3 linked regions of the Notamacropus eugenii genome follow. The protein of the gene in region 1 purifies or fractionates together with the protein of each later gene. This does not show direct contact. Links are inferred from orthologs where the notes say so. Each region holds a gene or a part of one and is shown in the gene's direction. Other genes may lie near its edges.

The links.
Region 2: the proteins of CHD3 (region 1) and BCL11B purify together in Homo sapiens (affinity purification with mass spectrometry; 3 studies listed by BioGRID and IntAct, with this or other methods). This does not show direct contact. The link is inferred for Notamacropus eugenii from reciprocal best matches to the Homo sapiens genes CHD3 and BCL11B.
Region 3: the proteins of CHD3 (region 1) and ZNF219 purify together in Homo sapiens (affinity purification with mass spectrometry; 3 studies listed by BioGRID and IntAct, counting the BioPlex papers as one, with this or other methods). This does not show direct contact. The link is inferred for Notamacropus eugenii from reciprocal best matches to the Homo sapiens genes CHD3 and ZNF219.

The regions. Positions count from the first base shown.
Region 1 is NC_092873.1:78,011,596-78,019,400, reverse strand, and holds the start of CHD3 (chromodomain-helicase-DNA-binding protein 3), read left to right. Parts: upstream 1-4,760; 5' UTR 4,761-4,801; coding exon 4,802-5,066; intron 5,067-6,065; exon of another isoform or gene 6,066-7,805.
Region 2 is NC_092872.1:356,898,487-356,905,851, forward strand, and holds the start of BCL11B (B-cell lymphoma/leukemia 11B), read left to right. Parts: upstream 1-4,286; 5' UTR 4,287-5,100; coding exon 5,101-5,158; intron 5,159-7,365. UniProt on the Homo sapiens protein: Key regulator of both differentiation and survival of T-lymphocytes during thymocyte development in mammals.
Region 3 is NC_092878.1:12,818,584-12,826,518, forward strand, and holds the start of ZNF219 (zinc finger protein 219), read left to right. Parts: upstream 1-4,868; 5' UTR 4,869-4,903; coding exon 4,904-6,476; intron 6,477-6,767; coding exon 6,768-6,899; intron 6,900-7,229; coding exon 7,230-7,843; 3' UTR 7,844-7,935. UniProt on the Homo sapiens protein: Transcriptional regulator. Recognizes and binds 2 copies of the core DNA sequence motif 5'-GGGGG-3'. Binds to the HMGN1 promoter and may repress HMGN1 expression. Regulates SNCA expression in primary cortical neurons.

The DNA.
Region 1 (7,805 bases):
ATGCTCATTTTATCGTGTATTAAGTTCAGAATAAAAAATATGTAATTGTTATGTTATAGAAAGATATGGATACACACACATCTATGCATATGTAGATGTAGATAACTACATATGACCCCTTTCTTTTTTTTACTTCCTTGGAAGGTATGTGCCCATTGGTGGAATTGCTAGGTACAACTATATGGACAGTTCGGTAACTTTTTTTTTTAATTATAAATTATTTTCCAAATGGCTGGATAAATTCACAGCCCCCTCAGAAGTATATTCATGTGTCTGACTTCCTGAAGCCTCTCCAGCATTGGCTATTTGCATCTTTTATCATCTTCGGTCATTTGAAAGGAGGTGAAGCCTCAGTTTTAATTTCAACATTTTTGTTATTGTTCATCTTTAGGACCAATTTTTGTATCATCATCATTAAGTATTTCACTGATTCTCTAGATGATTTTCCTATCTTTGATTTAAGTTAGCTTTTATTATTAGCACTGTAATCCCATAGAAGATAATTGTCCAATTTCTAGTTTCTACTCATTCCACTATACTTGTGGGCTTCCCTTTTCTCTTCAGTTGAGCTATTTTCCCATTTTTGATAGAGATTAACTTCCCCCCTTATAGCCTTTAATTAGTTATGTATATTTGGGGAGGCACAATGACAAACATATACAGGCAAGAGATACTGACAGAGAAATTGGCAGTCAGGTAAGAAGTGGGCCCGTGCACAGACAGAACAGAGGGACAGATAATAGAAATACTATCTCTAGGCACCTACATGGAAAGAGAGGAGAAAACTGTGGAAAGATTGATCTGGAAAACAGAGAAGTACAGACTATAAGAAACCAAATAGAATGGCTGTCAGCGGCAAGCAAACACCGAGAAAGTAAGACAGACAGATGGACTGACATAAAAGACAGGCAAAGTGACAATCAGCCACACAGAAAGACTATAAGGGAAAAGCATAATGGAAATGAGAGTTGCAGGAAAACTAAACAAGACAGGCAGTAAGATGGGCAGGCAGAGACAAACAACAGAGGTAGCAGGTAAGCAGAGAGATTTAAAGACTGAGAGACAGAGGCAGGCAGTCAGAAGCAGAGGCAAACCAAAAGGCAAATGAGTAAATAGACTAAACAGAAGAAAGCAGAGAGAAAGAGAGGCAGGTGAGCAGACAGGTGGGCAGAGAAAGTGACAGACAGAGTCAAGGACATCAGAAATGATACACCAAAGGAAAGGCAGACAGACAGATGGAGAAGGCAGATGCAAAGAGGCAGCAGGAAGAGGGCAAGCAGATGGGGGTGGGTAGAGGGATAGGCAGAGGACTGAAACAGAAATAGGGGACATGGAGTGGATGAGGGAGACAGGCAGGGGCTGAGGATACTGACAGGAAAGGTAGGAAGAAAGGAAAGACAGACACTCAGACAGGCTAAAGAGAAGCAGATAAATGGAAAAAGCAGATAAAACGGGGAGGAAGAAGCAGGCAGATGCTAAGAGAACACACAGACCAAAAGGCAAGCCTGAAAGGTACAGAGGACCTTTCAGAAAAGTAAAGCAAAGGAGAGGAAAATAGACAAGCAGAGAGAGATGTTTGCTGACTAAAAAAAAAATCTAATGGGGAAGGCTGGTAAAAAAAAGAAGACTGAGAATTACAAGAAATAGGTAGTCAGACAGATTAAGAGATGCAGGCAAGCAGACAGTAGCTAAATGAGGGCAGGGAACAGACAGTGGGATGCTAGCAGGCAGGTGGGGTGACAGAATGAGAGAGAGAGGCTGACAGACAATAGACACAGACAGACACAGATTGACAATAAGAGTTTATCAAGCAGAAAGACACAGAAGCAAGTAGATAGGCAAGGCAGAAAAGAGACCAAGAGATGCAGGCCAGGAGGCAGACAAGACAGCCAGAGAGAGGAAGGCAGACATGATAATAGCAGCAAACAGGAAAGAAAGTAGGCACGCAAATAGAATAGAAAGGCAAAAATCAAAAAGACCAGGAAGCAGGCCTGTTGGTGGAAGGGAAGAAACAAGTAAAAGAACAGAGAAGGAAGCCTAACTCACAGACATATACTCACAGAAGTGCTCCCACAGAAACACCCTGAGACACATACTCTTAAGCACCCATATCCAGAGATCCTGACATTTAACCCCAGACGCACAGGCACAAGTAAACATACATGAACATACTTAAAACCAGATGCACACATGCAAAGGCAAAGGAGACAGAATATAGTATACACACATGCTCTTATGCACACTATGACCCATAAGCACATAAAGACTGATATACACAGCCAGAACAAAATGATAAACAGATAGTGAGTCCAAGAATCACTGAAAGATGACAGTTGAAGAGTTACTGAGACAAGAGACAGCATGAGAGACAGCCCATGAATGAAACAGAAACAAAGGGACAAGCCCACACAGAGAGACAAAAAATGAGGGAAACTCCTTACACAGAGAAAAAAGTAAGAAACATATATTTTACACAGATATACAAAACTAAACAGAAACAGAGAGCTTGAGACGTAGAAATAAAACCAAGAGGCCAGGATGGAGAGTTGGGCTGAGGCTAGCAGAGAAGGAGACAAAAGATATTGAAACCCAGATTAAGAAAAAAAGGGAAACTGAGGCCCATAAAGTGAAGGACAGAGCCCTAAAATGACAAATTCTTGGCCCTCAAGAAAAATTATGCAAAAGTTCATCCTAGTACCTGTGGGAACATTTTTTTATGTGCATCTAAAGAGAAGTTGCAGTTGTCTGAGCTGGAAGGTTATGTCTATAGTATGAAGTAAGAGACTCATGATTCTAGGCATGTTTCAGGAAAAGATGCAGAAAACAGAACCGATAAGGAAGGGGCAAAATGAGGTCTGTGGGAAAGAAGAGAATCACGACTGGAAAGGGGTGACAAGCTCAGAGCTGAAGTAATCACTAGTCCCATCCCTTTCTCTACACCCCCATAATGGCAGTACCTCTGTCAGCAAACCTTTTAGGGGAAGTACTTCTCTTCTTTATTGATATCCCAGGTACAGAGATACTTGGTGCTTCCTCCTACCTGAGTGCAGGGCTCCCTTCCTACCCCAACTGACAAGCTCTCTTGAAATTTAACTTAGCTTCCTTGTTTGATTCACTTAGGTAGCCCCTAAAAGAGAGGTTTCTCCTGACCCCTTTCCAATTTCCCCCATCAGTATCTCATTCCTATTTTAAGAGGCCGTTTAGGTTGAAGAACTGGATGAGACAATCAGATACAAAGGTCTGATTGCATCCTCTTCTCTTTCATTTTTTCTTCACCTTAGCTAATTTCCTCTCACCTACTGTACTTCAATTTCTTCCACTTTGATGGAACTGAAAATGGGGGTGAATGAAAGAAAAAGGAGTCTGTATTGGAGAGGAGCAAATAAATTTTTTTTCTTTTTCAGATCTTGGTGCTCCCCATCCACAGCAAAATCCATTCTCTGTACCAAGATTTCATAGTAAGTTTATCTGGGAGAAAAGGAAAATGAAATGAAAATATAATTTAAAACAATTGTAAATTACTGAAATGATTTCAATAAAGAATAATCAAACATAAAACTCAGATTGAATGAAAAAACTCAGATTGCTTTCCATTCTCCACCCCCAAAGGGTTTCTATCATTAAAAAAGAAAAAAAAATCTTATAAAATACGTAAAGTTAAATGCATTTCAACTTTAACAAGGTATATGTATACGTATATATATGTATTTGGCCAGATTTATATATAAATATATGTATTTCATCTTTTTCCTTGACAATGCCTGAAGGGAGAAAAAAAAAACCCTTCACATCAAACCACTCCCTTTCTGAAGTACTTAAGGAAAAAAAGCTTTTCTTTTGAGGAGGGAGGTGGAGAGAGAAGAGACTAGTATAGAAAAGAAAATTTTAAAATCTAGTTGGACTAGTATCTAACTAGTTAACCTTTAACAATTTATGCTGATGTCAGACTGAGCATGAGTACTGATTAATGCCCCCCCAAATATTTTTATAGGTGTGTGTTGGGGGGGGAGGTTAGTCAGCAGCCATTTTTGTTTTATGCAGAAATCCTTCATGTTTCTTCCCCCCCTTCAATACACAAGGAAAATATCTATTAATCTGTTTACTAATCAGCTATGAAAAAAGGGAGACTTTTGTGGGTTTCTGGGTAGAGAAGGTTTTAGAGATGAGAAGGGGGGAACTGGAAGCATTTCTGTTGGTGGGGGTGTTAGGGGATGGGGGCTGAAAAATGAAATATTAAGCCAGCCATTTTGTTTTAAAAGCAGATTTTTTTTTTCCTCTCTCTTTCTTCTTGGAGGGGGTGGCGGTGCTGGAGGGGGGGTTGTTTTAAAAATAATTTCAGGGCGGCCATCTTAGTGCTTCAGCTCTAGGAAATATTTCTCAGCGCCCCCCTCAGAATTTCAATATATTTAAAACAACGAAGAGGGGAGTAAGGGGGGGAAGAGCAGAAAAACTTTTATTCATATAATATATATATTTACCCCCCTTTCTCTCTCTTTTGGTCTCCCAGGGAAGGGGAGGAGAAAGTCCCCCCCCTTTAATTTTTCTCAATAGTAAATTGTTTTTGGGAGGCGGTTTCGCCCCCTCCTTAGACAGAAGGGTGGGGGTAGGGGGTGGCCCGGGGGTTTGGGGGGCTGGGGGAGGAGGTGAGTTGGAGGAGGAGGACGACGACGACGAGGAGGAGGAGGAGGAGGAGGAGGAGGAGGAGGAGGAGGTGGTGGTGGTGGTGGTGGTGGTGGTGGTAGTGGTGGGGGAGGCAGGCGGGCGGTGGGTGGGGGGGTGGTGGGGGGGCCAGAGCTACAGGATGGCTTCCCCTCTGAGGGACGAGGAGGAGGAGGAGGAGGAGATGGTAGTGTCTGAGGAGGAAGAAGAGGAGGAGGAAGAAGAGGGCGAAGAGGAGGTGGAGGCGGCGGATGAGGACGACGAAGAGGAGGACGACGAGGGAGTAGTCGGACGCGGGCCGCCGGGGCACGAGCGGGGCCGCGGCCGCCACAGTCCCCCCAGCTGCCACCTCTTCCCGCCGCCGCCCCCGCCCCCGCCGCCCCCGCCGCCCCCGCCCCCACCGCCAGGTAAAGACGCGAGCGGAGGACACCCGCCGAACTCCCCCCCCTACTCCTGATCGCCGCCAGCCCAAAGTTCCGAAACCGTTGGGCGCGAGAGGGGGCTGGGGGGGTGTCGGGCAGGCGCGCGCGGAGGAGCAGGGGGTGGGGGTGGAGAGGAGGGCAGGGGAGGGAGCGCGAAAGGCACCCACCGCGCGGACGGAGAGGAGTCGAGTCCGGGGGCGCGCGGACGACGGAGCAGCCGGCCCGCCTGCTTGGCTGCCCCCCCACTCCCTCCCTCCCCGCCCGCCCGGGCCTGAGGCCGGGAAGCTTTCCGGGCCGGTGGGCCGACCTGCTGGCCGAGCGGGCCTCGCCTCCCCTCCCCCCGGCCAGCCCCCTCCCCCCGCTCTGGGGGGAGCCTCCGGCCGCGGCCGCGGCGGAACGCCGGGCGCCAGCTGAGCGGGCGCGCGGACGGAGGAGCCAACTCTTGGTCGCAGCCGGAGGGGGAGGGGAGGGCTGGTGGTGTGTGTAGGTTTGTTTCCCCCTCTTTTCTTCCTCCCTTCCTTTCTCTTCTTCGGGGGATTAGGAGCGATCGAACCCGAGACGACCCCCCCCACTCCCGCCGCGCATTCGGGCCCCGCTTGAGCTCCAGACGTCCCCCCCCTCGGCTGGCGGGGGAGGGGGAGGCGGCGGCGGAGAGTGGCGACGGTGGCTGTGGTTCGGAGAGTTCAAGCCCGTTTGGGGTTTGGCTAAATGTAAAATTAGATGGTGTCCGTATGCGTTTGTGGGGGTCGGCGTGGGGCTTGGAACGGGGGAGGGGTCCCCCCGACCACCCGAGCGCTTGTGTCCGTGAGGGCGCAGGGTGGCGGGGGGACTTTGGACACTCGCCACTGACTGGCCCGTACAGCCCCTCTCCCAAGATCTTGGAAGTGGGGGTGGGCTGGGTGCCTTGAGGGGAAACCAGATACACCCACCGACAACTCCACCTCTTTTGATTCCTTCCCTTTCCCTCCTCCTTGTGATGGTAGGCCCCTCTCTAGCTAAAGGGTGTGTATTCACCCCGGGACTCCCCCCTTCTACTCTGTGAGCCATTGACCCTCTTTTGTCCTTGAGTGACCCCACTGCTGTGGTCCTGGGGCCCCAGGGGTTGTGACTTCCCTGCTTGCCCCCATCACAGTCACCTCTGTGAGAGGATGACTGAGGGATGTGGAACACCTCACCTCCTGTGGTGTTTGTTACTAGAAGTCCCTCACTCCCCTCCCCAGTTTTCTCACACGGGCAGCTTTAGTAACTGTAGCCACTGCTTCGAGGTAACAGTTGCCTCATCAGAGACTCAGTAGCCACCCCATCTCAGACAGCCTTGTGTGGCTAGTTCCAGAACGTAATGTCAGCTTTACATGTAGAAAATGACAGATGGGACACTTTGATCCCTGTGCCTGGGAGCAGACTTCAGTAGCCTTATAGATTTAAAGTTGGAATGGAACTTAGAGGTTATGGAGTCCAGTCCCTTCATTTTAAATACGAGGAAACTGAGTCAAAGAGAGGCTAAATGACTTGACCAAAGTCACACGAGTTGCAAAGAGGTCTAGCTGGGATTCTGACTCGAAATCAAGTCCTCTTAACTACACCATGCTGCCTTACTTGTGTTTGTTTTCCAGCCCCTATTGATGAAATATGCCCAATGTTCTTAATACTGAAATACAGATTAGCGCCATGTATGGCAGATGTGCCTGTATATACTTCAGCTGAACAACAAAAGACGTGTGGGGGTGGGGGGGAGACGAATAGGAAGGAAGAGGGTCCAAAAGGGAGAGAGGAAAGGAGTGTCTTAGTGAACATGAAATAATTCATTATTTTCCCCCAAGGTCTTCGAAATAGGAAATAAGTAGAAAAAATTACCTTGTGGGGAACACGTTTTTTTAAAGTGCAAATGGGAGAATTTGGGAGACAGGTGTCAAATTCAATTAAACATTTATTCAGCACCTACAGTATATTTGCAAAGTGAGAAAGGAAAGAAAGGAGGAAAGATGGGATTAGGGGATGGATTCTTTCCTTGTCTGCTGAGTTCTCAGGTTAGATAATCCTCTTTGGTCATTTTCAAAACTAGGCTAATAAAAGAGGGGAGAGCTGGGAAAGAAAGCAAGAAAGAAACCGTCAGAGGTTGAGGTGTGTCTTTGTTTGGCTCCCTTTGCTCCCTTCTTCTGAAGCCTATTTACCTAATAAATAAGCAGATGTTTGAAGATAATAAATTGTTTCATTTTGGATTTGGAATTAAAAATAAACATTATTCCCTTCTATTTAAGGCAGTTTTGCCTCTGCCTAACCCTTCAGATTTGCGTGAGTGAAACATCCTTGTTGGGTAATTTATTGATGTAAAAAAAACTTTTGGGGAAATATATTTTAGCTCCCCTTCCTTTTTTGTCACCCCAGGTATGAGGAAGGCAAACACCAATCCTAAGAAGTTTGACCCATGTACTTAACTCTCTCCTTCTGGCCCAAACTCCCAAGTGGAATATGAATTTGTAGATTCTGTAGCTCTGTATTGTTTTTCAACCCTGACTGATTTTCCCTCATCCCCATTTTGTTTCACATTCTTAACTGAGTCCAACTTTACCTCTTTCTCCTCCCACCAACCTCTGTACATTGTTCAGTATTTCAAATCCAAAGACTCCTGTGGGGGGAGGGGAAAGAAGGGAGCCAAAACTCAATTTCTTTCCCCTCCCCCTTCTGGCAAGTATAAAGAAATAATATAATATTTAGATGTGATTG
Region 2 (7,365 bases), on another chromosome or scaffold:
CCGTATTTCTTTACTTTAAGCCGTTTTCATCATTCTTCAGGATCAATTAATTTTTCTAAAAGGAAAAGTCCTTGACTGAGTGCCATCTGTCAAACAGACTAGTAAACTGTCTTTAGTCACTAAAGCCAGAGTGAATACACGTGCAACCTGTACTTCTTGTAATTTCCACAACATGTTAATTTTCACGTTCTTTTTTTGAAGTACCTTTTATTATAATCAAACCACTGATAGATCAAAGGCAGGGTGAGGGAGATCCCTGGAACAAGAATGAAAATAATTCGTGGGACAGAAACATTTCTGGTCCCAGTGCCATTGTAGCTGGCAGTGCTGGGGGAAAGAGTGGAAGAAAAGGAAAGGCGGTGGGGTAGGTGGGGGTGGGGGGCGAGTTCAGCTCGCCCCGGGAGAGAGGCTAGTTCTTCTTGTTTGTCTGCTGTCACCGATTGTGACTTGATATCGACAGAGTGAGAAAACAGAACAGTGGGCCCAGCTGCAGACGGAGGCGGGGTCGAGGGATAGGTCAAGGTTGGAAAAGAGACTGCTATTGATCTGGCTTTGAACGCGAGACAGGAGAGCAAGGAGACTAAAGGGGGAGCTGTGAGACAAGACATTAACAGCTTTCAGTGCTAATGATCACAAGTGCCAGACGGGGGAGAGAAAAAAAAGAAGAGACTGGAGCAGCAGTTAGGCTCTCTCTCTCTCTCTCTCTCTCTCTCTCTCTCTCTCTCTCTCTCTCTCTCTCTCTCTCTCTCTCTCTCTCTCTCTTTCTCTCTCTCTCTCTCCCTCCCTCTCCTCTTCTCTCTCTCTTTTTTCTATATTTACTTTCTTTTTCTCTTCTCTTTTTTTCTTTCTCCTCTATATTTTCTTTCCTTCCCTCTCCTCTCTCTCTCTCTCTCTCTCTCTCTCTCTCTCTCTCTCTCTCTCTCTCTCTCTCTCTCTCTCTCTCTCTTTCTCTCTCTCTTTTCATTTTTTAGGGGCAAAAATAAAAGGGCACACCTTTTTGATGAAACAGGCCAGATACCTTATCAGTGGAAGCAGAGAAGGCACCATCACACTGCCGGGATAGGCACTGTGTGCTCCCCACGCCTAGTTCAGGTTTGAGAAAGTAATAAGGAAACTCACCCATGGGTTTATCATTTATTTATCCCAGGTTCCTGAGTGAAATGCCCACTGACAGTCACTGTCTGAAGCTGCCAGCGACTTCCTGGTTGGACATGCAGAGATGGAAAGAGGATCCAGGGAAGAAATAAGGAAGGAATTCCAATTACTCCCCCCCCTTCGTAATTCCATCCCAAACTTAAGGGAATCCTGCTGAGGTCTGGATCGCTATGAAAAGTGCTTTATCTCCCCAGAGAAAGGTGAATTCTTCTCACCCTGTGGATCACTTTTCTGATGTCCCGTTGGCCTCCTTTTTCGTGTTTCCTTCCCTCTCAGAAGAACCCACAGTTTGTCTTCTCCCTCTCTCTTCCTACTCAGGTCTTGAGTTTCTTGGCTTAGCTTGTGGAACGATTTTATATCACCTGAAAAAACTACAGTTAGGTGACATCAAATTTCTCTGTGTATTATATAGGAATGTATATAGCATATGTATGATATATATGTATACAAACATACGTATTTTGTGTATATGTGTTAGTATAAAGGGGCATATATGTATATATATATGTGTATATACATACATGTATATATATGTGTGTATATATGTTATAAACAAAAAACAAGGAGACTGAAGTGCGTGTGTTCTCAGACTCCTAGAAAGGGTAAATAGATTCAGGGTAGTCAGTCTAAGGTATGCCTCTGAACTTTTTGGAGAGGTGTAAGCGAAGGGTCATTTTCTTTGAACACAAGCGGCATTCCTAGAAAGCTTTCCGTGACCCCCGACTCATCGATCATCTTGACGTTAGGTGAGGCGGCAGCTTTTCAGACTTCAGGTAAATGGAGGTAGGGCATGGAAAGATTTATGCAGAAATCTCTCTCTCTCTCTCTCTCTCTCTCTCTCTCTCTCTTTCTCTCCCTCCCTGTCTCTCTCTCTCTCTCCCTCTCTCTCTCTCTCCCCCCGCCCCTCCCCCCCGCCCGCCTCCCACGGTGGAAAAAAGCCCCTGTCCCCCGGGGGCGCTGTCTCTCCACCTAAGCCTCAACCCTGTGCCCTACAGTTTGGCCCTTATGATCTCACCACCCGGTTCGGCTCTACTGGCTCACCTCCTAGCAGAAGATGCTACTCATTCAAAAACTGCGCCCACCCCACCCCCACCCCAGCCGTTCCCCCTTGCGCTCCTCACTCTGCCTCCGGCGCTATCATTTGAGAGCAGTTCACATCTCCCCCCTCCCCCCCATTCGATTGTTTGCATAACTTTATGAGTTGACTAATTTTTTTTTTTTAAAGTAGAGTAGGATTTCTGGACGCACTCAAAATTGCTACGAGCAGTTACTATCCAGGATGCTAATTTCCTTTATAGGACCCTAAAAGCAAACAAATAACTACCACCCCACCACCCCCAGCCCATAAAGAATGAGGGGGAGGGGAGAAAAATAAACTGCTTAAGAGGTGCTAAATGCATACTACTTCTTAGCTGTTTGTGCAGACTCGCTTCTGAGCTGGTCCCTGAGAGTAGAGAGGGGCGGGGAATGGAGAAGGGGGCAGCGCTGCCCCGGAGGCCTGGGCCTCCCAGGTCACTGTCTGGAGTGCTGGGAATACGAAGTGTAGGAAAAGGAAGGCTAGGAGTGAGAGGCGAGTCTTAGAGAAGGCTTGCATTTTAAACCTCCCTGGGGACCAAGGGAGGTCCCAAAGTGGCTTATCCTCCGCTTAACAAAAGTTATCTTTCCTACGCCGTAGCCCTGAAAGCCACCTATGGGGAAGGGGAGATGAGAAAAATAGGCTGAAATGAGGAAGGTGGAGGGTAGAGTTCCAGGGATTCTACATACAGACACATACACATACACTTTTAGCCTGGGGTTCGCAGCCCTGCCTTTTTCCGGGTTTGGGCCTTGGAGTGATGCCTAAAAGGTAGTTGTATCCTTCCCAATTAAACTAGAAGGAGACAGGGAAGACTTTTAAGGGCCGTATAAATATCCCCTCTTCTTTAGATGGGTAGTGTCAGACATTCTACTGCTGAGAAACGAGTTTCTTAAGGGTATTTTGTGCCTCTCTGGCAGGGGATTCCACAGAGAGTCATGGTTAAGGGACCACGTTCAAGCTCCTCTGTGCCTTGAATTTCTTCACGAGCCAAAAGTGAATAGATAAAGGATGCCTCCGCCACCCTGCCAGAGGCATCGAACTCTGATCAACATTACAACCCTTATCTTTGCCCCCCAAACCCCCCCCCCCCCCCAAACGCTCTATGCAGATTTCAGAGTAATTGGGAGAGGGAAGGGAATGTTTGACACGAACTGACTTCAAGTAAGGAACTAGGATGAGTGTCTTTCGGGGAAAACTACGCTCAGACCGGGGGTGGGGGGATGGAAGGGAAAGAGGAGGGGGAAGGCAGATTACCAAAACAGGAGTCTCATAAAATAAGGAAGACCGCACTTCAATCTCGGCCAGAACTCTCCCTACCTCAACCGACCCCTCCGCCCTATATACAGCACTGAGGTTCTAAAAGAATCATTTTCTAGAAGAGTTTTAACAATCTTTCCTCTCCCTAAATAACTCTATACCAACCCTCAAAGAACCCACTACCTAACTTACTTGACTGGAATTTTTTTGGCGGGGTGGTTAAATAATTGGCCATCCCCCTTTCTACCTCTTCCCCAACCCGTCTCATTACAACTCCAACTATTTCCAAGTTGCTTCATATGCTCTCCCCCACATCCAAAATGATATCTTATTGGGGGGTGAAAGTGAAGGAGTTTTCCACTAGGAAAGAAGACCCTAGCTGTCGGGGTTTGTATATCTTCCATCTCCTATATCCTTCCATCAATCCAGGGTATTGCCCGCAAGAGTGGTGGACAGGTGAAGAATATTTTGTCATAATTACCATCATTTAAAAAAAAAATTACGAATTCCCCTCTGTCCCCCCAAACATGTACCATGGAAAAGCAGAAGCGCACAAAAACCCGATTTGTACATGTGGTTGGGTTGGTGTGTGTGCATGTGCGCTCGTGTGTATGTATGTGTGTGTGTGTGTGTTTTCTTGTTCTCTTGCAGGGTACAATGTTAAAAAGCCACCACTAGTCGCCCCCAGTGCTCCGACTCTCTGGGTCTTTTTGTCTCTAGTGCAGATTAAACGTCACGTCCGCACTTGAACTTGAATTTTATCCCATTGTACAGAGGCAGCCCCAGCCATAGAGAGACAGAGAGCTCCCAGAGAACCTGGACTCCGCCATCTTCACATTGCAATATATATTTATATATATATATATAATAGTAATAGCTCGCACCGACCCAGCAGCACTGGGCTACCGTCCTACCTTCCTTCCCCTGTGCCAGGCGAGGGAGAACAGTGCAAAGTGGTGCAGGGACTCTGGGAACCCAAGGCATAGGGCGAGCGTTCCAGGTGAACTGGAAAGGAGACACTACTGAGCTGCCCCCCAAAACCAGCCAAAAGGGTTAGTGTCAGAAAAAATTGGGGGGCACTTTTATGTTTCTTTTTTTTCTTTTTTCTTTTTTTTTGGCAAGGGGCGGGGGAAAACAAGTCCCAAGTTTTATTTTATTTTATTCTTTTTCATATTCTTTTTTCCGTCCTGGTGGAAGTGCGCTTTCCACCTACCAGAGACTTTGGAGAAAAGTGTCACGGGTTGGTGCAAAATCCTCTAAGTTCAAGAAGACATTTGGAAGTCCAAGTGGCCAAACAGTTTGGAGAAGTGAGAGACAGATATTTTTTTTTCTTTACCTCTTAAATTTTTTTTTTCTAAATATTGGGGGGATTTCATCTAGTGCACGACAACAACAAGAGTTTTTTTTCTTTCTAAAATTTAAATTTGAAAGTTTTTTAAACTAGAAGAACAAAATAAAGAAGAAGAAGAAGAGGAGAAAAAGGGGGCAAGAAAGAAAGAAGGAAAAAAAGAGGCGGGGAGCAGCAGCGGCTTTAACCTCCACCCCCCTCCCCTCTCCATTCCCCCCAACCGGTACAGCTCTCCGGGCGATGTCAGTGTAAATGCCAGGCAATGTCCCGCCGCAAACAGGGGAACCCGCAACACTTGTCACAAAGGGAGATTATCACACGTAAGTCTCAATTTGAAACTAGAAGAATTAGGAGCCTAGGGCTCCGGGGGTGTTGGGGAGAGGGAAACGGATTGGGAGAGTGTGTGTGGGGGGTGTCTTTAAAAAAAAGTCTTGGGGAAAAAGAGGAGGGGGTGGGGGAGAGACAGCCGAGGCTGATGTTAGTCATTGGAAATCGGAGGGGAGAAGGGGGGATTGAAAGGCTGGGGAAAGGAAGGCTGGGGTGGGGGGAGGCGAGAAAGCTTAAAGTTTCTTTTGCATCGGGGTGCTGCCGGCAGCGTGGGAGAGACAACCGCGCCGCCGGCTTTGGGGAAAGATGCAGCCCGGGAACGGGCTGGAAGGCCGGGCCGGGGGGTCGGGGGGTTTGCAGGGGAGAAGGTGTGTGTAGGGGGCACTTGGGGTGGATTGCACGGTGCACGGTGTGTGGCGGCGGCAGGACTGGGGAGGGGACGAGAGTGGGGGAGAGGAGGGGTTTGGGTGAGGAATCTGTGTGGTTTTTTTTAGGAGGGTGGATACGCAGAGCCTGGAAGTGGGGGGAAAAGTTGGAGCTTGGCTGACCGGGGGAGGAAGCGGGTGGCTGCGGGGCTGCGCTCAGGGCCCGGTTCTTGGGAGAGTTGGGGGAGACTTGAGGTAATGGCGCGGGGGGGAGGGGCGCGGCGCGCGGCGGCAGCGGCGGCGGCGGCGGCTGCCGGGGATCCGGGCAGGCAGGCGGGCAGGCAGCCGGGGAGGAGCCCTCTGCGCCCGCCAGCCAGCCCGCGGGAAAAGAGTCAGGTCCTCGGGACTCTGAGCCTGGAGAGGGGAGGGGAGCCCAGGCTGCAGGCCAGTGCAGCTTTCCAGGTGCTGCAGACCAATCCACCCCCCCCCACCCCCAGCAAAACAACTGAACTTGGTAGCTGCTTGCCCAGCCTCAGCACCCCCCTACTTTCTCCCCCCACCCCATTTCCCCACCTCCGTGTCTCCTGGGATAATCCTGCTTTCTTTTCCCCCTCCCTTCCCCCCCAAAAGGTGGGGAGACTTGAGCTGTTGAAAAATTCCTACCACTGGGAAAAGTATGTCAGCTAAGAATGGGAGAGATTGGGGTGCACCTATCCATCTAAAAGTAGATACCTATCCATCTATCATCTATCAATCGAATCCATCTTCTTCCCTGTCTAAATCAACACAAGCAAAGATAGCCCTCATTTGCAGTCAACTACACTGAGAAAGCGAGTTGCTGGGAGGATAGATTCACTTTAGGAGAGCCAAGTCTGGAAACACCATGTGTAAGCTGCAGTTTCCAACGCTCTTGCAAAAAAGAAAGAGAAAGGAAGAGATAGAGAACAAAATAGACAAACGTACACAAAGGTAGACGGAGGAAAGCCTCCCAGACGCTGGAAGATGAAGTCCAGGCTCTCAGTGGCACCGGTGGCCAAAGGTCTGGCTGCACCTCCTGCCGCACACAAGCTTTCTCCCTTTCTCTCTAGCCCTCTGCCTGCAACGCGTGCTTCACTTCTCAGCCGCGCGCAATTTTTTTTATTGCAATAGAAATAAAACATCCTCTGGGTGCAATCAGGATCCGAGGCAGGTTGTTTTCTCGCAATTCACCATAAACCTATTATGGTTGTGGCCAAAACGCCCCGGCTGTGTTCGGGAGGGCTGTGCGCCGAGCAGCCGAGGGCTGTCTGGAGACGGTGGAAATGCGAATATTTATGTTATATTTTTAAAAAATTTAAATAAATAAATAAAGATATAAATAAATAAATAAATATATGGGGTCTTCCCCTCCCCTGAAAACCAAGAATAGAAGCCATCTGCTAGGAGCTTTGGGTGTTGCGATCTGTTCTTTGTTACAGAGAGAAATTTGTAAGAATTTGGTGGATTATTTTTTGAAGGGGGGTATGGGAGGGATATATTTGAGTCGCGTTTGGCTTTAAATGGGGATGACCTTTTTGGAGGGAAGGGGAGGAAGCTCACTTTAATTTTGTATCCCCCCCCCACCTTTGTGAGAACATAAATGAAGATTCAACCTGGTTACATTGTTATTTAAAAGAAACAAAATGTTTCGCAACCAGATTTGAGCTTCATTTATTTTCTTTTCTTAAAAATAAAGGTACTTTAGGCTAATTGACATTTTCTTCTTTTACCGAGGAGTAACAATCACAATGTCCCCCTTTTTTTGGGGGGGGAAGGAATTGAAAAACGTCTACCCGGTAGACATGAATCTAATTTCC
Region 3 (7,935 bases), on another chromosome or scaffold:
CGGAGAAGGGGGAGGGGGCGGGGGCCGGGCCCGGCCGGGGGCGGGGGGGCCGGGGCCCAGCGCATCTCCCCCGGCCCCACGTAACGCTGACGCCCGCGCCGCCGGCCCGCCGCCCGCCCGCCCGCTCCGCCGCCGCCCCGGGCTCGTGAGTAGCCTCTCCCCCCTTCCCGTTCTCCCTCCCCCCCATCCGCCATCCCGGCGCCCGCCCCAGGCCCCCTCCTCACCCCCCAGCCCCGAGGGGGGGGCGCTCCCCGCGCCCAGCTCGGAGCAGGTGCAGGGGGCGGGGGCGGGGGAGGGGCGCCGGCTCGGCCCCGAGCAAACTTCGCCCGGAGCTCCCGGAGCGGGGGCCGGCCGGGGAGGCCCGGGAAGCTGGGGGCCCCGAGAGAGGTGGGGTCCAGGTCGGGGCGGCGCGGGGAGCGGGGACCCCGGAGGAAGGGCCAGGCGAGGGGGAGCGAGCGTCTTTGTAGGGGCCCGGAGGGGCGGGGAGGGAAGAGGAGCGGAGAGCCGGGGGCGCGGGGCCGGCGAGGTTGGGGACCCGGGGGTTGGTGGGCGATCGGGGGCACAGGTAGGTAGGGCCTGGGGCTGGGGAGGGGGCGAGGATCCGACCTCTCGGCTCCGGGCTGTGGGGGTGGGAGGGAAGAGCTGGGGGTGGGGGAAGGACTGTTTCTCTCCGAGTCCCAAACAAAGTGTCACAAAGAGCTCGGCCCGCCGGCAGCCGAGGCAGCGGCTGAAGCTCCGCTTTTGTTCTCCCGAGATGGGCTAGTCGAGCCCCTCGCCGCTCCCTCCAGGACTCTGCCCCCAATCGTTTTGCCCACCTCTTCTCATCCGTCTCGGTTTGGGGCGGGGGTGGGGAGAACCTGATGAGAGCCCAGTCCAATTTGCCAATCCAAGTACTGGCAGGACAGCAAGGGGGCTCTTCCCCCCCGAAGGCTGTTCAGACTTCCATCCGGGGCAGGGGGCTCCCATCTAGTGGAGGGATTCCAACCAGGATATAGTCAGCTTTGGCTGTAGGAACCTAGGGGTTTCACCAGTCTCATCCCCTCGTCAATCAGGAGGCCTTGTGAAACCACCAGAATCGGGTCAGGATGGGGTCTGGGTGAAGGCCAAGACTCTGGGGCAGTTCCACTGATTGTGGCCTGAAATTGGTACATCTTACTCCCTCCTGTACTGTTTAGGTCCCAGAATGAAGGCCCACCCCAGAGCAGTGAATCTGGAAAGAGAGGACCTTTACTCTATGCTTAGGGATACTGAAGCTGAGTACCCCTATCATGAGGGGTGCCAAAGCCTTGGTTCATTGGGTCCCTTTAGCCACGCATGTTTAGATGGTCTTGAGGGGGAACCATGGCATCTGAACTGCTGGTGGACTGGGGTAGTCAGTAGGGCCCTGGGCTGATATTTCCTCACCCCACCCCCCTGCCTTATAAGCCCTATTGTGAGCAATTTAGCCTCAGCATTGCCTCTCAGGCAGATTTGGGGTCTGGATTCTACGGAGAGTTCAAGTTTATAATACAAGTTTGAAATATATATGTTACTGGACCCTAAAAGTACTAACTTAGAGTGCACTTTGATCCTAGGTCACTGGTTGGCAATCTAATACTGAAGGATGGCATGAGGGCCAATCTTGGTCATTGCCTCTCTCTACATGCCATCTCCCTGTATCTGCCCCTCTCTATCCATTAATAGTTGGAGGTCCCTGTCCTTCTAAATCTCCAATTCTCCCACTATACTACACTTGGGGGCCAGTAGTATGGCAAACAATTTAAGTTACTGATTCCTGTCTTAAGTCATATGACCTCTTTAGAATTATACCAGTGAAAAAACATTTATGGGTTGTCAGGGACAGAAAAGGTCTGTGTGTATATACGGGGAAAGGGGTGGAGAGTGGGAATGGAAAGTTGCTTTTCTAGATCAGCATTGTATCAGTCATGACCTTTGAGCCTTGAATTAGTCCAAACTTTATGGGAAATACACTTTGCTGTTATACCTAGGGGGTACATCCATGAGCTTTCTATGGGACTTCAGGCCCTGTTTCAAAGAATCTAGGACTGTTCTAATACAGTTTTAGATTGGGATAAATTCAGAGGACCACAGTATAGTGATAGCTCATGGTATCAAAGTGGACCTAGGTTGGCCTCTGTTCATTTCCAGGTCACTATTTTCTTAGGAGAATTTGATCTATTTAGGAAAATCCTTGGTGAATTCTAATTTTAGATTATTTAGGTGTTTATTTAGGGCCCTTTTATATGTCTAAGCACTCTTGAAATATTATTATACTTGGAGATCATATTTCCCCATCACCACCTTGAAGACTGCCTTCTGTGATAGTTTCTCCTTCCTAAAAGTGAATTTCTTCCAGGCCTTTTGAGCTCTGGTCCTGCTTTTCTTGCACCTTGACAAGAATTCCAGAATCTTTTCAGGGCCTAGGAGGCATGGGAGGGAAGTTCACAAAATGTCTGGTAGTTAATGGGTTCTGGACATTCAGGATCCCCACCCCTTATCATCTGGTTTCTCTAAATATACAAGATTGGTTCAATACCAGGATATTCTGGAATCCCCAAGAGAGCTCCAGAATGTGACAGCTTTAAGAAACAGATTCTTCAGTTACTGATACCAGGATGTACAAACTGTAATTGATGGAGACACTGCTCCTCATATCTAGTAAATTAATCCAGTTTCATTTATTTTCCATGACATTTAAAAATGTTTTCAGTGGCATTTAGAAGTACAAAAGACCCCTCTACTATCTCACTTTTTCTTTGGTGTATAGATGAGAGATTGCCCTCTTTCTGGTTCTCAGTGCCCTCTCTTGGTGTTGAGAGGACAAACATGGCCACTCTGATGTATACCATTTTCTTTTCTGTGGTGCTGAGGTGGCCAAAGGTACCCCTCTGGTAGTCCATTGTACTCTCCATGGTACTGAATCTTGCTTCACTTGTTCTGCTTCCTCTCCCAAACCCAAGAGGTACTAACTGTAACTCTCTTTAGGTTCTTTCAGGTTCTTGGTCCCAAGGAAAAAAAAGGGTTTTTTCCTGGTGGTTTCAAATTGGATTTGGGGAGAAATGTTAATGTTAGGAGTGAGACACATTTATCTGTGGGCTCAGTGACCCCACAGACTGGCATTCCTTTGTCCCACATTACACTAATAATAAAGCTCCCACAGCCTAAAGAGTCATAGATCCCAGATGGAGGCTCAGCACATTCCATATAGAATTTCTGGACATGCAAGGTCCTCCAGAGGTCATTAAATCTCTATCTCAATGCAAGAATGATCCTCCCCTTGCTCAGATAGTCCTACCTGTTATTAAAAGTCAAAGGGAGGAACATGGCTCAGCCTTCATTAGTGACACATTTCAGATTCACAGCCCTCACTATAGGGAAATTTTTTATAATGTGTCCTAGGTTAAGTACAGTTCTGGGTAAAGGCAGGAATATAGACTGGGTGATCTCAGGTTATCTCTTCTACCTGTTTGGGTAATTCTGTATTTTGGTGTGGTCAGTCAACATGATATAGCAGAGATAGATTTGGCCTAGGAATATAGACTTAGGCTCTAAATATTAATTTCATGATCTTAGGCAAATCCCTTCACCTCCCTGAAACTCATTTTCCTTATCTGTAAAATAAGGAGGTTGGGTTAGGTTCTTTAGGTTCCCTTGCAGCTTGGAGATTGTGTGTTCAGTCTCAGATCCCTAACACTGACCTCCTTTGTAGGCTAGAGTGCTGCCTGAGTTTTCCTTTCTGTGCAACGAGCTTCCCTGAACACTCCAGCAAGGATGACCAGGCCTTGAAGTCTTATCCTGGAAAACTTTAACCCTTTCCTTTCCAGACCATGTGCTGGGCCTCTTGTCTGTGCAGATGGCTCTAGCCCCGCCCCTCTGCCCCACACTCCAGGCTGTAGAGCTCAGAGCCTGTGTAATCCTCCTCTTGTGTGGGGGAACCTCTCCCCTGCAGAGATAAGGAAAGTCTGGCTTGGAGCAGCTCTGGACAAAGGGGTTGTGAGGTACCATCAGGTCTCAGTCTCCAGGGTGCTAAAAGCAAGGGAACGTTTTTTATCAGGATTTTCCACTTCTGATTTCTTTTCCCAGACCAGAAGAACCCCTTCGCTCTCATTCTTCCCCAACTGTTTTCCCATCCCCTTCTCTGTTTCTGTCTTTCCCCCCTCATGCCCCTCCCCCTCTGTCTGTCTCCAGACTTGCTGCTACTGCTGCTGGGAGGTGTTTCTCTCCCATGCATGAATGAGTCTCTGTAATGAATGGAAATGAATGGAGCAGGAATCCAGGCAGAGGGAGGGGGAATGAGGGGGAAAGGCAGAAAGACAGGGTTCAGGCAAAAGGAAGGGTAGACTTGGCCAGCTTGATAGGCAATGGCTAAACTGAGGGAAGCTTGACGGAGAGAGGGAAATGCCCAGCCCAACTTGGAAGATGTTGGGGAATCATGAGACCCCACTCCCTCCCCATCCATTGAATTGTTGCATGGGATAGACTCCAGAATAACTGGCGGAAGTCAGCAAGGGAGGGGTTGTGTTTGGAAATTCTCACTTACTGCTTGATGGGCTGGGGGATCAAGGGTTGCTTTCCCCTTCCCCCCGAAGTTGAGGGGAAAAGAAAGGACATCTACATTGAGTTTTGGAGGGGGAAGAGTCCCTTTTTTTCATTGTGGTGATCAAAGTTCACGTCTTCCACCTGGAAACCTGTGATCTCATATTGGGAATCTGGCTTTCTCTCTCTAGCCCCCTTGCCCCAGACGCTTCCACCAGAGGCTTCCCCTCCTCCCTCCAATCCCTGGCACCAAAGAATGTGAAGTGAGCCCATGGAGGTGAGTGATGCCGCCGCCCCCCCCAGGGCACCGACTGCCTGAGCCGGGAAGCAGAGTTGGGGGTTGGTTTGGGGGGGGGGGGTGGAAGGTATGCTACTCGGCTTCTCTAATTCCTGCCTCTCTCCTCTCCCCTTGGGGCTCTGCTGTCCCTTGATCCTCCCTTTTCCCGCCCCCACAGTTCTTATCTTCCGGTTCCCCACTTCCCTCTTCCTTGTATCCTCTCCTGACCCGACTCCTCCGCTCCTGTCTTGGCAGGGCTCACGTCCTCGCTCCCCGGGCGGCCCCCTTGCCCTGCCGGCCTTCGAAGGCGAGCTGGACCTGCAGCGCTACTCCAACGGGCCGGGCGTAAGCGGGGGGCCGGCGGGCATGGGAGCGGCGGGCTGGCCCGAGAGCCGCGGGAGCGGGCGGCGCTTCCCGTGCCCGGTGTGCGGGAAGCGCTTTCGCTTCAACTCCATCCTGGCGCTGCATCTGCGGGCCCACCCCGGGGCCCAGCCCTTCCAGTGCCCGCACTGCGGCCACCGCACGGCGCAGAGGGCCCTGCTGCGCCTGCACTTGCGCTCGCACCAGCCGGAGCGCCCGCGCAGCCCCGCCGCGCGCCTGCTGTTGGAGCTGGAGGAGCGCGCCCTGTTGCGGGAGGCCCGGCTGGGCGGCGCGCCCTCCCCGGAGCGCCCCGCGCAGGCCCCGGCCCCCGCCCCGGCCCCGACTCTACCTGCCTTCCGCTGCCCCTTCTGCAAAGGCAAGTTCCGCACGGCGGCGGAGCGTGAACGCCACCTGCACATCCTCCACCGGCCTTGGAAATGCCACCTGTGCAGCTTCGGCTCCAGCCAGGAGGAGGAGCTGCTGCGCCACAGCCTGACAGCGCACGGCGCCCCCGAGCGCCCCCTGGCAGCCGCCTCGGCGGGGCCCGCGCCCCTGCCCCTGCCCCTGCCCCTGCCCCTGCCCCTGCCCCAGCCGGAGTCCGAGGCGGCCCCGGAGCTCGAACCCGAGCCGGAGCCGGAGCCCGAGCCCGCGCCAGCCCCGGCCACCGCCCCCGAGGAGCCTCCGGCGCCCCCCGAGTTTCGTTGTCAAGTCTGCGGCCAGAGTTTCACCCAGTCCTGGTTCCTCAAGGGCCACATGCGCAAGCACAAGGCCTCCTTCGACCACGCGTGCCCCGTCTGCGGCCGCTGCTTCAAAGAGCCCTGGTTCCTCAAAAACCACATGAAGGTGCACGCCAGCAAGCTGGGGGCCCTGCGTGCGCCCGGGCCCGGCTCGGGCCCTCCCCGGGCTCCTCCCCCTCCTGACCTAGGCTTGCTGGCTTACGAGCCCCTGGGCCCCGCGCTACTGTTGGCCCCGGCGCCTCCCCAGGGGGATCGAGGCGAGCCCCCGGGTTTGCTGGGCTACCTGAGCTTGCGCGCAGGGAAAGCCAGGCCCAACGGGGAGGGCACCGAGCCTGGGGCTGGCCGGGGCTTCGGGGGCTTCCGCCCGCTCCCGGCTCGGGAGCGTCGTCCCCGCCTGGAGGAGCAAGATGAAGACGACGAGGAGGTGGTGGTGGAAGCGGAGGAGGACAGCTGGACTCGGAGCAGGGCCCTGGGAGCGCTGGCTTCACTTCCTAGACGGCCAGGGGAGGGCGCGGGTCATCCTGCCCCTCCCGCGGGGGGCCAGTCCCGGCCTGCAGCCTCCCAGGGTATGTGTCTGTAATGAGGAGCGAGTGCGACACCTCCTTCCCCGGCAGCGGTGCTTCCTTCTCCTTTCCCTTTCTGCATTTCAGATCTTCCATTGTCCCGACCTCTAGTTCCCACCTGCCCATTTATCTTCCTGGAGGCAGCATTGATTCCCCTCTGTCTGCCCCCTGTTCCCTACCGTTCGCTTTCCACTCGGGTCTTGTAGAGTACCCGTTTGCAGTTTGGAGAGACAGTAGGGGGAGACGCAGCTGGGATCTTAGCCTCTTAACTGGATTCCTTAACATGTGTTGCAGAAGAGAACGGGCTGTTAGTAGGGGGTGCGCGGCCCGAAGGGGGCCGGGGAGCCTCGGGCAAGGACTGCCCCTTCTGTGGGAAATCCTTCCGTTCTGCACACCACCTCAAAGTGCATCTGCGGGTGCATACAGGTGAGATGGGGGGAAGGTATCTCAGAGGCCTGCGAGGGGTTGGAGAAGGAAGAGAGAAGCGTGTGGGTTTGGGAGGATGAGGGGCATTTCTTGCCCAGACCTGCAGATGGGTGTGGCAGACGTTTTATGGGGGATTCACGGATTATGGGGGGAACTTCACTAGTGGGTGGGAGTCACGAGTTTGAGGGCAGTCCTGAATCTTTAGAGGAGGGGACTACCCTGCACATTTTCTGCTCTGCAAGTCCATGAAAGGGGAAGGGAGTTGAGGGAAGGATAAGGGACTCCATTGGGCACCTCCCTCTCCCCTACTGAGTTCTCTGCCCTCTGCAGGTGAGCGCCCCTACAAGTGTCCACACTGTGATTACGCTGGTACCCAGTCGGGCTCCCTCAAATATCACCTGCAGCGTCACCATCGAGAGCAGAGGAGCGGAGCTGGACCGGGGCCACCCCCGGAACCTCCGCCCCCACCTCAGCGGGGCTCAGCTCCATCCCAAGGGGCCAAACCCAATCCTGCGCCCCCAACCTGGGCAGAGGGCGCCATGGGCTCCCGCCTCCCTTCCAGCGCCACTGCCCCCTCCCGTCGTAAACCTGTGAGCCCTGGGAGGACCCTGCGCAACGGGCGAGGGGGCGAAGCCGAGCCTCTGGACCTGTCCCTGCGGGCGGGGACCGGAGGTGAGGCCGGGGCTGGGGGCTCCCTGCACCGCTGCCTCTTCTGCCCCTTTGCCACCGGAGCTCCGGAGCTCATGGCTTTGCATCTGCAAGTGCATCACAGCCGTCGGGCACGGGGTCGCAGGCCCCCCCAGTCCGCTCCCTCCCCTCCCTCCTCCGCTTGCGTCCTGTCCGGGGAGTTGACTCCCAGCCCTCCGCAGGATGGGGATGGGAGCCCCGGGCTGTCCCGACCGGGAGAGGCGGCAGGGGCTGGGGTGGGAGGGCAGGAGCGGTAGGGAGCCCATTTAGGGGCAGGTAGCATAGACAGAGCGCTCGCCTTGAGGGAGCGGGAAATCACTAGAGGTAGTTGGGTAGGGCAGCCAGCAGG